Linked DNA regions of Cricetulus griseus. The protein of the gene in region 3 binds, or shares a complex with, the protein of the main gene of each other region. Links are inferred from orthologs where the notes say so. Each region holds a gene or a part of one and is shown on either strand. Other genes may lie near its edges.

Evidence for each region. Proteins that work in one complex are often made in the same cells at the same time.
Region 1: the proteins of Gipc1 (region 3) and Plxnd1 are in contact, whole or in part, in a crystal structure (PDB 5V6T), measured with the Mus musculus proteins. The link is inferred for Cricetulus griseus from reciprocal best matches to the Homo sapiens genes GIPC1 and PLXND1. Residues at the interface, in NP_061241.1 of Mus musculus: His61, Glu141, Ala142, Leu143, Gly144, Leu145, Thr146, Ile147, Thr148, Asp149, Asn150, Gly151, Phe156, Lys158, Arg159, Arg190, His191, Tyr192, Glu193, Ala195, Arg196, Leu198, Lys199; in NP_080652.2 of Mus musculus: Glu1400, Met1889, Glu1893, Arg1899, Gln1902, Gln1904, His1905, Glu1908, Ile1918, Tyr1919, Cys1921, Tyr1922, Ser1923, Glu1924, Ala1925.
Region 2: the proteins of Gipc1 (region 3) and Myo6 are in contact, whole or in part, in a crystal structure (PDB 5V6E), measured with the Mus musculus proteins. The link is inferred for Cricetulus griseus from reciprocal best matches to the Homo sapiens genes GIPC1 and MYO6. Residues at the interface, in NP_061241.1 of Mus musculus: Glu273, Ser274, Tyr275, Met276, Gly277, Ile278, Arg279, Asp280, Glu282, Leu283, Thr286, Asp310, Phe311, Ala312, Pro314, Glu316; in NP_001034635.2 of Mus musculus: Ser1055, Lys1056, Trp1057, Lys1058, Tyr1059, Ala1060, Arg1084, Arg1085, Leu1086, Val1088, Tyr1089, Trp1092, Lys1093, Asn1096.

Annotation. Positions count from the first base shown.
Region 1 is NC_048601.1:28,869,833-28,874,090, forward strand, and holds the start of Plxnd1 (plexin-D1), read left to right. Parts: upstream 1-1,449; 5' UTR 1,450-1,464; coding exon 1,465-2,781; intron 2,782-4,258. UniProt on the Homo sapiens protein: Cell surface receptor for SEMA4A and for class 3 semaphorins, such as SEMA3A, SEMA3C and SEMA3E. Plays an important role in cell-cell signaling, and in regulating the migration of a wide spectrum of cell types.
Region 2 is NC_048597.1:191,082,405-191,086,585, reverse strand, and holds the start of Myo6 (unconventional myosin-VI), read right to left. Parts: upstream 2,810-4,181; 5' UTR 2,621-2,809; intron 1-2,620. UniProt on the Homo sapiens protein: Myosins are actin-based motor molecules with ATPase activity. Unconventional myosins serve in intracellular movements. Myosin 6 is a reverse-direction motor protein that moves towards the minus-end of actin filaments.
Region 3 is NC_048596.1:160,754,338-160,757,846, reverse strand, and holds part of Gipc1 (PDZ domain-containing protein GIPC1), read left to right. Parts: intron 1-152; 5' UTR 153-184; coding exon 185-472; intron 473-1,189; coding exon 1,190-1,375; intron 1,376-1,468; coding exon 1,469-1,649; intron 1,650-2,305; coding exon 2,306-2,418; intron 2,419-3,395; coding exon 3,396-3,477; intron 3,478-3,509. UniProt on the Homo sapiens protein: May be involved in G protein-linked signaling.

The DNA.
Region 1 (4,258 bases), on a different chromosome or scaffold from region 3:
GTGGGGGTAGCTGTAAGCTGGGCCTGTTCTGCTGACCCCTCAGGCACAGGGAAACCCCCTCCCCACCCTTCCTTCCTATCAAGTGGGAGCAAGGCAGGAGAGGTCACCCTCTGCGTAAGGGCCATCAGCCTTAAGTGACAGCTGCAAGCTGATAGGAGATCCTGACTGAGAACCTGTAGCTGAAGGACTGTGCCTTCAAACAATGGAACTGTGCCCCAACTTCCCCCTTAGCTGTGGATCTTGGGCTTCACTTCTGGGGCCTCAGTTTCCATGTATGTAAAATGGGTTGAGTATTTCTGAGGAGGTTGGCACTTGGCATGGTCCTATGTGGGCATCACCATGCTGTGGAGGGCATCACATGGGGCTGGATTAGGATACCACTACCTGCGTCTATCCCAGGGACTACCTATTCCTTTGTGGGTCAAAGGAGACCGGTGCCCAGTGCCAGGTCATATGTGGGACGACTTATGGTCTTCTCAGAACCCTGGACTAAGGGCAGGGGCCTGGGGGTCCACAGGGTCTGGCTCCACACAGAGACCAATGCCCTGTGGTGTGATGTCGTGCTCAGCCCAGCCTGCCCCATGGTATAGTAAGAGGGACATACTTCCTCTTGATGTATTTTCTACTTTTGCTGTGGATTCATTGCCAAGCTTGTTCTGCAGAGCCTGCTGCTTGCGAAGTCCCTTTACGGGACAGTTTGGGGGGACAGATCATGGGGTCTCGGGGCTTGATGTCCCTTAGTCCGGCTGGCTTTTAGAGTGAGGCTTGGGGAGCAGCATGTGAGGAGGGGCTGTAACCAGAAGCAGCAGGCGGTGGAGGAGAAATGGAGGGCTTCAGGGGACAAGGGAAGGAAGACAGTGGGGAGGGAGAGCTGCGGGAACAGAAAAAAACGCAGTTGAGGGAGAGGGAGTGACGCGGGAGAGGCACGGGGCGGAGTTGACAGGAGCGAAGTAGGGGAGTCGGAGAGACTGAAAGAGCGAAACTCCGCGCGGCGGTGGAAGACAAACCGGCGATCAGAAACAGAAGGAGAAAGGACCAGGAAGAGGAGAAAGACAGGAAAGATAACAAACAAATGTGAGCAAGACCTTCCAGGTGGCCAGGAACCAGGAAAGAGGCAGGCAACTTGCGACCGCTGGGAGAGAGCTTCGGCCGGCGGTCTGCGGCGACCCCAGACCGTGAGCCGGGGATGGGGCGGGGCCCAGGGGCGTGGCCCGGGGCGAAAGGGTGTGGGCCAAGCGGCTGGGGCGGGGAACTGGGCTGGGGGCGTGGTCTCGGCGGAGCCGCCCCCGGGCCGTGCGGCGCGCCAGAGTCGGGCCGGGGCGCCGGGGCCGGGGGCGGCAGGCGCGGGCAGGAAGCGCCTCGCGGCCCGGGCCCGCCCCCCGCCTCTCGCCGCCTCCGAGCTCCCGGCTCCCGGCCGCGCCGCGCCCCATGCACTCGCCGCGCCGCGCGCCCGCGCTCGCCTGGATGGCTCGTCGCGCCGCGGGCGGCGCACCCCCTAGCGCCCGGGCCGCTGCGGCCGTCCCCTTGCCTCCGCGCTCGCACTCGCGGGGCCCGGGTCTGCCGCCGCTGCCTCTGCTGCTGCTGCTCGGAGCGGCGCGGGCCGGCGCCCTGGAGATCCAGCGCCGCTTCCCTTCGCCCACGCCCACCAACAACTTCGCCCTGGACGGCGCGGCGGGCACCGTGTACCTGGCGGCGGTGAACCGCCTGTACCAGCTGTCGAGCGCCAACCTGAGCTTGGAGGCAGAGGCGACCGTGGGCCCCGTGCCGGACAGCCCGCTGTGTCACGCCCCGCAGCTCCCGCAGGCCTCATGCGAGCACCCGCGGCGTCTCACCGACAACTACAACAAAATCCTGCAGCTGGACCCGGGCCAGGGTCTGGTGGTCGCGTGCGGCTCCATCTACCAGGGTCTGTGCCAGCTGCGGCGCCGGGGCAACATCTCGGCCCTGGCTGTGCGCTTCCCGCCTGCCGCGCCGCCCGCCGAGCCGGTCGCCGTGTTCCCCAGTATGCTCAACGTGGCCGCCAACCACCCCAATGCATCCACCGTGGGGCTGGTGCTGCCGCCGGCCGCGGGCACGGGGGGCAGCCGTCTGCTTGTAGGCGCCACGTACACCGGCTACGGCAGCGTCTTCTTCCCGCGCAACCGTAGCCTGGAAGACCACCGCTTCGAGAACACGCCCGAGATCGCCATCCGCTCCCTGGACGCTCGTGGAAACTTGGCCAAGCTCTTCACCTTCGACCTCAACCCGTCCGACGACAACATCCTGAAGATCAAGCAGGGCGCCAAGGAACAGTACAAGCTGGGCTTCGTGAGCGCCTTCTTGCACCCGGCGGCGCCTCCGCGCCGCGCGCAGCCCTACGCGTACCTGGCGCTCAACAGCGAGGCGCGTGCGGGCGACAAGGACAGCCAGGCGCGCAGCCTGCTGGCGCGCATCTGCCTGCCCCGCGGCGCGGGCGGCGACGCCAAGAAGCTTACGGAGTCCTACATCCAGCTGGGCTTGCAGTGTGCGGGCAGCGCGGGCCGCGGCGACCTCTACAGCCGCCTCGTGTCTGTCTTCCCCGCGCGCGACCTGCTCTTCGCCGTCTTCGAGCGGCCCCAGGGCGCCCCAGGTGCCCGCAACGCCCCGGCCGCACTCTGCGTCTTCCGCTTCGCCGACGTGCAGACAGCCATCCGCGCGGCGCGCACCGCCTGCTTCGTGGAGCCGGCACCCGACGTGGTGGCCGTACTGGACAGTGTTGTGCAGGGCACCGGGCCGTCCTGTGAGAACAGACGTAACATACAGGTACGCCCGGGTCTGGGGAGCCTGTTTGGGGATCTGTTGTGCATGCAGGGATGTAGATGTCCCGGAGGATTGGTTGCTGGCAGGGGTGCTGGCCCCGGAGTATGTGCTCGGTCACAGGGTGTGCACACTTAAGGGGAGGAGGGTCTGTGTTGTCAAGGTACCCAGGTGTTCCCAGAAGGCAGACAGAGCACCTATAGCTCAGATCGGCAGGTGGGGGCCACAGGTGCAATGCTGAGCTGAGAGAGGCAGTGACAGTAAGAGTGTGTTTAGGGAGACTGTGGGTGCCCTTAGGACATGCCACTGCACCCTGGCAGGTGTGTGAGTAGGTGTGGCAGCAGAGCCCTGAGGATAAGGGGAGGGTGGGGCAGAAGGGCTAAGTATGTGTGTGACAAGGCACCCACTGGAGGCCCCAAGAGTGTAGACATGCAGGGATATTGACTCCCAGTAGGAAATTGTGTCAGGAGACCCTGGAATTTGGGAAGTGATTGCTTCCCTGGAGAGGTCACCTGGGTTGCAAACAGGTGTGTGCTCAAGGCCAACTTTCACTCACTCAGGAAAGAGCAGCTGAGCACCTATTAGGTGGCATGGCGGACCTGGAGTGACCACCAGAGTTGTGAGCTTTTAACTTAGTGTGTCGAGTGTCCTGTCTTCAACGAATGTCTGTTCTTAATTCCATTGTACATACAGACGAAGAAAGCAGGTATAAGAGTTTGAAGGGACACTCAGGTCACACAGCTGAGAACTAGCAGAGGTGGGACTTGAACTCAAGCTGTCTGCCCCCACCTCCCCAGCCTGTGTCCATGGTGCTGGGGCTTTGCTGCCTAACAGACACAGCCCAGCCGGACAGATGGGGCCACCGAGATGGAAAGAAGACTTTGGCAGGGGATCTTGGCTGGAACAGAGAACTACAGGGCTGAGGATGAGGTAGGGCCTGGGGGCGGCAAGAGGGCAGGTTAGGGGTCACCATGTGGGCTGGCCTTGGGTGCAGCCAGTCCCCTTCAAGGATTTCACAGCAGAACCCTCTTTTTATTGGCTTCAGAAGGTAGGCTTGTGGGTCCTCATTTTCCACCCCCAAATGACATTGACTTTGCAAAGCGCTAAGTGGAGCCTTCTGTGCTTGCTGAGGCCCCCTGTCTTGTCCCTTTCTCTGTGGTCCCAAGTAGTTGCAAGACTCTGTCATGGGCGTGCCTAGATTCCTTCTCTTGGCAAAGACTCGCACAGCCGCCTACCACCCTGCTGGTTCACCCCTCACAGAAAGGTCATAGAGGGTGAGAGGCAAATGGACTGTCTGAAGCTTACAGCCCTGCCACCAGGCAGGGTCAGGCCCCCTGTGCAGTGCTGGGGTGAGGGCAGCCACCATTCCCTACAGAATGGCTTGCATGGCTGTGCCTGGCTGGATCTGGAGGCTGGGAGAGAAGGAAGGGGAAGCTCTGTGGGCAGGGAAGGCAGCCCTCTGTGGGCCCCTAGCTGATGAAGG
Region 2 (4,181 bases), on a different chromosome or scaffold from region 3:
GGTAGGATAACATCTTAATATTTAATTTTTAAATTACAATTATTTGCTTATGACTATGTGACATGGCATATGTGTGGAAGTCAGAGGACAATTAACAGAAGTTGTTTGTCATGAGCTCAAACTCAGGGCATCAGGGTTCCGGACAAGTGCTTTTACCTGCTGAGCCATCTCATAGTCCTGAACATCTTGAGCCTGGAGCATGTTTCAGCCCCTAAGGTTAGAGTTAATTGAATAACATTTAAGAGACAGCTACTGTATTTGGGAGCAACAATCTAACTCACATGAAGGAAAAAAAATTGAAGCTTTATCCTAAACAGAAACTTCATACACTGCTCAGCTATAATGAAATCAATCCAGGATTAGACGGCAATGTTAAATCCTATAAGCCCATCAAAATGAAAAGCACATAATACTTATTACATGCTGGAACTACACCAGAAATGATGCTACTGCATTGGGTCACTGCTCGAGGCCTTAAAGAAGAAGACAGAATTTTCAATTAGCTCCAGAGTCCATGCATGGACTATCAGCATCTTCAAATCTCCAGACCAGTTCTACAAGGGAGTCTCAATAGTTCACCAGGCAAACAGAAACCCAAGGCAAGCCCTGTTCAAACAGGGTGGGGGACTTCACTGTCAGAAGACTCCTCTGCATATCCAGAGTCTGGACTTTGCCCCTCCAAAGCCAATGCAAGTATTTACTTCTCTGAGCCTCTTGTTTTCTCCTCTATAAAACAACAAGACCATCAACCTGGAAAATTATTTTGTAAATCAAGCCTTCAGCTTGTGTGTATCACCCTGATACTAAATTGCCAGTTTATAAACTGTTGCAAAGTATCTCTTTCTGAGAATCCCCATTATACTGTGTGAGAGGTATTCAAATTGTAACATTTTTATCAATCTTTTATGTTTAAATACGATGTTTTAATACAGAAAAATGAAAATTTTGGTACCCAGGGCTTCACACATACTAGGGAGAGCTCTACCCACTGTATTGTACTTCCAAACCTGATTATTTTTAAACTGGCATTTTATGTATGCTAAGTGGAGCCTTATGTACCAGGAGAAATTTTAAAACTAGTGAATTTTTTAAAATGTGGACTGCCTATATATTCAGACCTTGCATGGTGGAAATCTTTAAAACTGTCTAAAGGCGACTGCCTTTCAGAACCCAGATACAGACCAGTTGTCTAAACAATAAATGATCCACCACAGACTCCCGGCAAAGTCACAACAGGATGACAGAAGAGCCTTTGGCCTCTCTCAGATTTCCTGGCCACTGTTATTTTAAAACTTGATCACATAAACAGGGGAAAATCCCTTTCAGATAAGCCCCTATGAACTATAATTTACCACCTTTGTTTTTAATACCTGGTGGCAGTTTCCATAAAATATCATAGTCGTTCTCTCTTCTTGCTCATGTGTCTAGATAATAGAGCATATGTATATTCTATACTACATTTAATCACAATAATCTTTTCTTAATGGTAGTATTAGGTCCCTGTCATTTACAAGTAACTTTTGAAAGTAGATACATAACTAGAAAAGAGAAGGAAAAAAAATAAGTAACAGATCACACACACAAAATAAAAACACTATGGGCAGATGAGCATCAGCCTAAAAAGACTTGTTTACCACTGTGCATGTTTACTCCTGCACAATGGAAAACCCCAAAAATGACATTTAAAAGTCAATGAGCTATTCTGAAGAGCTGCATTGTTTCTGACTCTTCCTTTGGTCCCCTTGTAACATTTTGGCTATTTCTAAAATTAATGCTAGAGGGCACTAAGGTAACTTTTTTCACTAAACATTTCCCAGTTGGAAAACCACAAGCCAAGATATCTTGAAGTTGAGTTAATTTGTACAGAAATGCTGCTGTTCGGCGGCCAACCTTTGTACCATGACCACCATCGAGACTCACATTTTATGGTGTGCAGATAGTTGCAGCTGAGCCCCAGGAGCTGTTAAAAGTCTCAAGTCGACTATATTCGAACTTCCTACAACTGTACCAGGATAGCAAACGAAACTTTTATTCAGCACATATGAGATCGCCCCAACAATGCTCCACATTAGGATTTAAACAGCCCTGCCCTACATACTTCTCGCCAGATAAAATGTAACTCTGTGTAAATATTCCAGACATAGATAACCTAAGAATGACCTTATTAAATCATTTCCTATTTAGAGATACAACCCAGAGCCAGCGTGTTTAAATTAGTTTAAGGAGTTTTGGAATTAACTAAGTTAGTTTTTTAAAAAAAATTTTCATCAACATATCCGTAAAATTCACACTCAAGATACGAGACCACTCAGGAACTAAAACTCCAGCTCCGTAGAATGCCACCATGGTCTTCGACACGGCTAAATTATTAATGGCATCATTTGATCTTTACTTCTGACAACAGACTAGTCTGTGTAGAATTTTCAGTGTGCTTCCAAAAGGAGAAAATAAAACCATCTCGCAAAGTCAGGAGAGACTCCCGGGACCGGGGACGCAGCAGCGTCAGATGACAGGCACCCCGCCGGCCCGGGCAAGGGAAGCCAGAGCTCCGGTCTGAGCCCGGCCGGGAGCAGAGGCCAAGGCGACAAGGACAGGCGGGCGTGCAGGCGCCCACACTCACCCGGGGAGGCAGGTGCGCGAGGACCACGGAGAGGCTGCGGGGCTGCGGGCGCGAAGGGAGAGCGCGACGCCGCGGCGGAGAGCGAGCACCGGAGACGACGACCGCCGGGATTCGCTTCCTGCTAGGACAGATCCCGGATCGGTCTCCGCCCGCTGGCCGGAGCCCTGCTGAGTGCCCAGCCTGCAGCGTACGTCACTGCTACGGAGCGCCCAAGGGGGCGGGAGGCGGGGCGGAGGCGGGACTTAGTGGGAGAGGGGCGGGGCGGCTGGAGAAAGGGCGGGTCTTCATGCGCAAGAGGCGGGGGCAGCCTAAGGGGCGGGGCCTCAAGACTCGAGGGCTGAGAGGGGAGGAGTCCAAGGGAGGAGGAGGGGGCGGACCGGCAAGGCGCGGGGTCTTAGGAGTGAAGGAACCGAGGGGCGAAGCCTGAAGACGTGTGGTGGGGGGTACGTGGGCGCGACTGCTAAGAGCGGGGTCCCTGGACGCCCTGGCGGGCGGACTGGGAGGGGAGGCCTGGCAGAGCCAGTGCTGAGTGGGGCGTGGCCTCAGGACTCCCGAATGCGGAGCTGGAAAAGGGCGGGGCTTAATGACTTGCAGCCTGGGAAGGGCGGGGCTTCATGGCTGGGAAGCAGCCCAGAACCGAGACACTGGGTGCATCCCTGCTAGGAGCATGCTACAGGTGGCCACACTAAGTTCCCTTCGTCCCAGTCGTGGTTGTTTCCAGTCCCGCAGCGCAGGTCCTGTGGATCTGCACCGCAGAGTCAGCTGGAGGAAATTTGAGTCAGTGGGGACAGGCGTTTTGCAGAGGGACTCACATGCGGTCTCTAGGTGGCAACCAGGCCTGTGCTCCCCACGCAGCTCTTCACCTGCCTGCGTCAACTTCCTGTTCGGCCTTTGGAGGATTGGACCGCGGAAGGAAGTTTTCCCTGCCGTGGCTGGCCTCCCACGATGTCATATTGACTTCTTAGAGCCCCTGTACTCCTACCCCGCCCCTTTTGTTGTTTATTCGGACTCTTGAGAATCTCAGTGGATAACCAGGCTGCCTGGGAACTTGCCATGTAGCCTGGGCTAGCCTCGAAATAATGATAATCCTTTGTGGGCTGGTTTTATAGGATTAAATAAACTTACCCGCTTTATCTTTCTAATTGTTTAATTTTACTTTCTTTATAAGGTCATATGAGTCATCTTTTTTAGATTAAAAACTACATTCCCATGCAAATTTGAAACATCGCCTTTATAAGGAAAAGAAGCTACTAAGAAAACAAAATAAGGAGCTGGCAAGATGTTTCAGCCAGTAAGGATACTTGCAGTAAGGACACGTGCAGCCCAGCCTGAAGCCCAGCTTTCGATCCCCAGAACCCACACGGTTGAACTTACTACTCAAATTGTCCTCTGAACACAGGGGCTCTAAACACTTGGACACTGTCTGGACAATTCTTAGAGAAGACAAGTTTCACGTGTTCAAACTGGGCCTCATACTTGTGATTCCAGATACTCAGGAGGATGCAAGTTCAATCCACACCATCACAAAAATGGTGGGGGAGGGTCAGACACGCAGAGAGGA
Region 3 (3,509 bases):
TCTGGAGGTGTCCTGTCATCAGGACTGGGATGAGGGTCAGTGGTGGAGCACTGCCCCAGCTTGCACCAGGCCCCTGGGTATGAGGATGGTGTTGGTTGGTGATGGGCACCCAAGGCTTACTCAGAGCTTGAAACCCAATTCCTTTTCTGCAGGTCTCCTGGCCGAGTCCCATTTCTGGCTGCTCATGCCACTGGGACTGGGGCGGCGGAAAAAGGCACCACCTCTGGTGGAAAATGAAGAGGCGGAGCCAGGCCGCAGTGGCCTGGGAGTGGGGGAGCCTGGGCCCCTGGGTGGAAGCGGAGCAGGGGAATCCCAGATGGGCTTGCCCCCACCTCCCGCTGCCCTCCGGCCTCGCCTCGTATTCCACACCCAGCTGGCCCACGGTAGCCCCACAGGCCGCATCGAGGGCTTCACCAATGTCAAGGAGCTGTATGGCAAGATCGCTGAGGCCTTCCAACTGCCAGCTGCTGAGGTACCAGTGGGGCCAGGGTCTCCTGAGAGCAAGCCATAAGCCTAGGCATGCATTCTTGTGAGCTGGGGCTCAGGTGCTTGTGCACCCACTGGCCAGCAACCCCTGAATCTAGGAGGTATGGCTGCAGCAGGATACTGAGTTCCTGTCGGGCCTTGAGAGACTTTTACCCCAGTAGGTATATGGGGATGGCTTTCCCATCAGACCTTGAGAGGCTCGTAACCTAGTAGGTTGTGGGGCTGTGAGTGCTGGTTATCCCATCAGGTCTGGAGTAGCCTATGGCCTGGTAGATTGTAGCTGGGTTTCTATGAGGCTTTAGGACACCTATGCCCCAGAGCACTGTGGGAACTGGAGGTCAGGAGCAGCTATTGTTTCCCCATGGTGCACTAGAGGCATGACCCCAAGGTGGAAGCAGAGAAGCCACAGGGAGGGAAACAGTGGGGCTGAGCATCAAGTGGAGATTGGTGGGAAGGGTGGGTAGGAATCTAGACTCCTTTATTCACTCCAGCATTTGAGTGTTCACTGTAAATCAAGCTAGCAATGAGTTCTTACCAGAACAGAAATCCTACTCATAGCATTTGATGTACTAGTGGATCTTGCCCTGGCTCTGGGTGCCACCAATCCCTGGGATAGGTATCTTTTCTGAAGTCCCCTCCTCTCCCAAGTGTTAGGAAAGGTGACCCAGGGAGGAGGGCACAAGCATCTTGCCCACCTCTGCAGGTGATGTTCTGCACCCTCAACACCCATAAAGTGGATATGGACAAGCTCCTGGGTGGCCAGATCGGGCTGGAGGACTTCATCTTTGCTCATGTCAAGGGGCAGCGCAAAGAGGTGGAAGTATTCAAGTCTGAGGAGGCACTGGGACTAACCATCACTGACAACGGAGCCGGCTATGCGTTCATTAAGGTGCCCGGGTGGGTGGCACACCCTTGGTCAGTGGTCAGGGTCTGAAAGTGACCTAGAGTAGAGCTCCCAGGGCTGATGCCTGCCCCTCCACAGCGCATCAAGGATGGCAGTGTGATTGATCACATCCAGCTCATCAGCGTGGGTGACATGATTGAAGCCATCAACGGGCAGAGCCTGCTGGGCTGTCGGCACTACGAAGTTGCCAGGCTCCTCAAGGAGCTGCCCCGAGGCCGTACCTTCACCCTCAAACTCACAGAGCCTCGGAAAGCCTTTGGTGAGCAATCTTTGGACCACCCACTAGGATGACCTTGAATCCTTGAAAAATATGGTCTGCGGTTCTGGGAACCACCAGCAGGTGGCACCCAAGTCTGCAACCAAAGTGAAGCCGGCCCCACCCTAGCACCCTGGGTGCTGGCTGGTAGCCCAGCCTGAAGGAAGTATCCCCCACACCCAACTTCCAGAAGCCATTAGCTCAGCCAAGTGCCCCCAACCCTGGCCAGCCCCCTCAGCCTGGAGAAGTAAGGCTTGGCTGACCTGTATAACTCCCGGGCCCTGCCCCCTTTTCTACCTGGCTTCACTAACTCTCAGGAATGGGCCTGAGGCACCCCTGGTATGGGTAGGTAGGACTGATCTGAGATCCAGCAGTTATGCCCACCCATGGTCATGGGAAAGTGTCCAAGGACTCATTTTCGACCCCCAGCTCTCACCCCTTTTAGTAGAAGTAGTAGAAGTGTCCCTCAATTGTGTTCTCTAGCTTCTTTTATGTCTAACTCCCCCACCCCCCACCCCGCCCTGCCCCTCTCCATTCCTGCAAAGTCCTGTCCTCCTGGAATCCAGCCCCTATCCCAAGGAGCCTGCAGAACTTGGAGATGGTGAGAGGTGGCCTAGCTGCCTGAGTGCTATACTGACTGTATGCTGAAATTCCCATAGATATGATCAGCCAGCGTTCAGCGGGTGGCCACCCTGGCTCGGGCCCACAACTGGGCACTGGCCGAGGGACCCTCAGGCTCCGATCCCGGGGCCCTGCCACAGTGGAGGATCTGGTGAGTGAGCCACCTTGGGCCAGTGACGGCATTCTCATTACCTGAGGGACTCTGGACACCTCTGCTTAAATCTACCTCCTCCCAGCTTTGGGACCTTCCTTGGGCAAGTGAGACTTGGTTTTCCTACCTGTAAAGTAGGAGTCCTAGTAACTTCTTGTCAGAGGGGACCTTGATACAGACAGAAACCACAGCCAGGCATGTAATCTCAGGCAGGAGGATTTCACATTCAAGAATAACTCAAACCACAAGAGCTTGGCACCAAAAAGAAAATGCATGAAAGCCAGCCCAGTGTGGGCATGCACTTGTAATCCTAGATACCTGGGAAGCTGAGGTAGGAGGGTTTAGTGTTCAAAGCTAGCTTGGGCAACTTAGAATGTATCTCAAAATTAGAATAATAATATCTGAATATTGGGGCTGGAAAGATGGCTTAGCAGTTTAGAGCACTTGGTGCTCTTGCAGATGACCCAGGTTCAGTTCCTAGCACCCATATTGGGTGGCTAACACATTAACTCCAGCTCCAGGGCATCCAGTGTCCTCTTCTGACCTTCACAGGCTCACACATAGTACACATACATACATGCAGGCAAAACACTCCTACACATAAGCAAATAAATGTTAAAAAAAAAAAAATAGCTGGGGTGCTGAAGAGATGGCTCAGTGGTTAAGAGCACTAGCTGTTCTTCCAGAGGTCCTGAGTTCAATTCCCAGCAACCACATGGTGGCTCACAACCATCTGTAATGAGGTCTGCTGCCCTCTTCTGGCCTGCAAGCATATATGTAGGGAGAACACTGTATACATAATAAACAAACAAAATCTTAAAAAAAAGAAAGAAACAATAGCTGGGGGTGCAGCTCATTGGTGGAGCTGTTGCCTGGCATGTGTGAGGCCCTGGAGCTGTCCCCAGCACTGAAGGCATTCACTGTGTATAACAGCAGTTCTGTTGACACTACTGTGCTGTCTTGTCCCTCCTCCACAGCCATCGGCCTTTGAGGAAAAGGCCATTGAGAAGGTGGATGACTTGCTAGAAAGCTACATGGGGATCAGAGACACAGAACTGGGTGAGTGGGGGCACCCATGCCTGGAAGGTGGG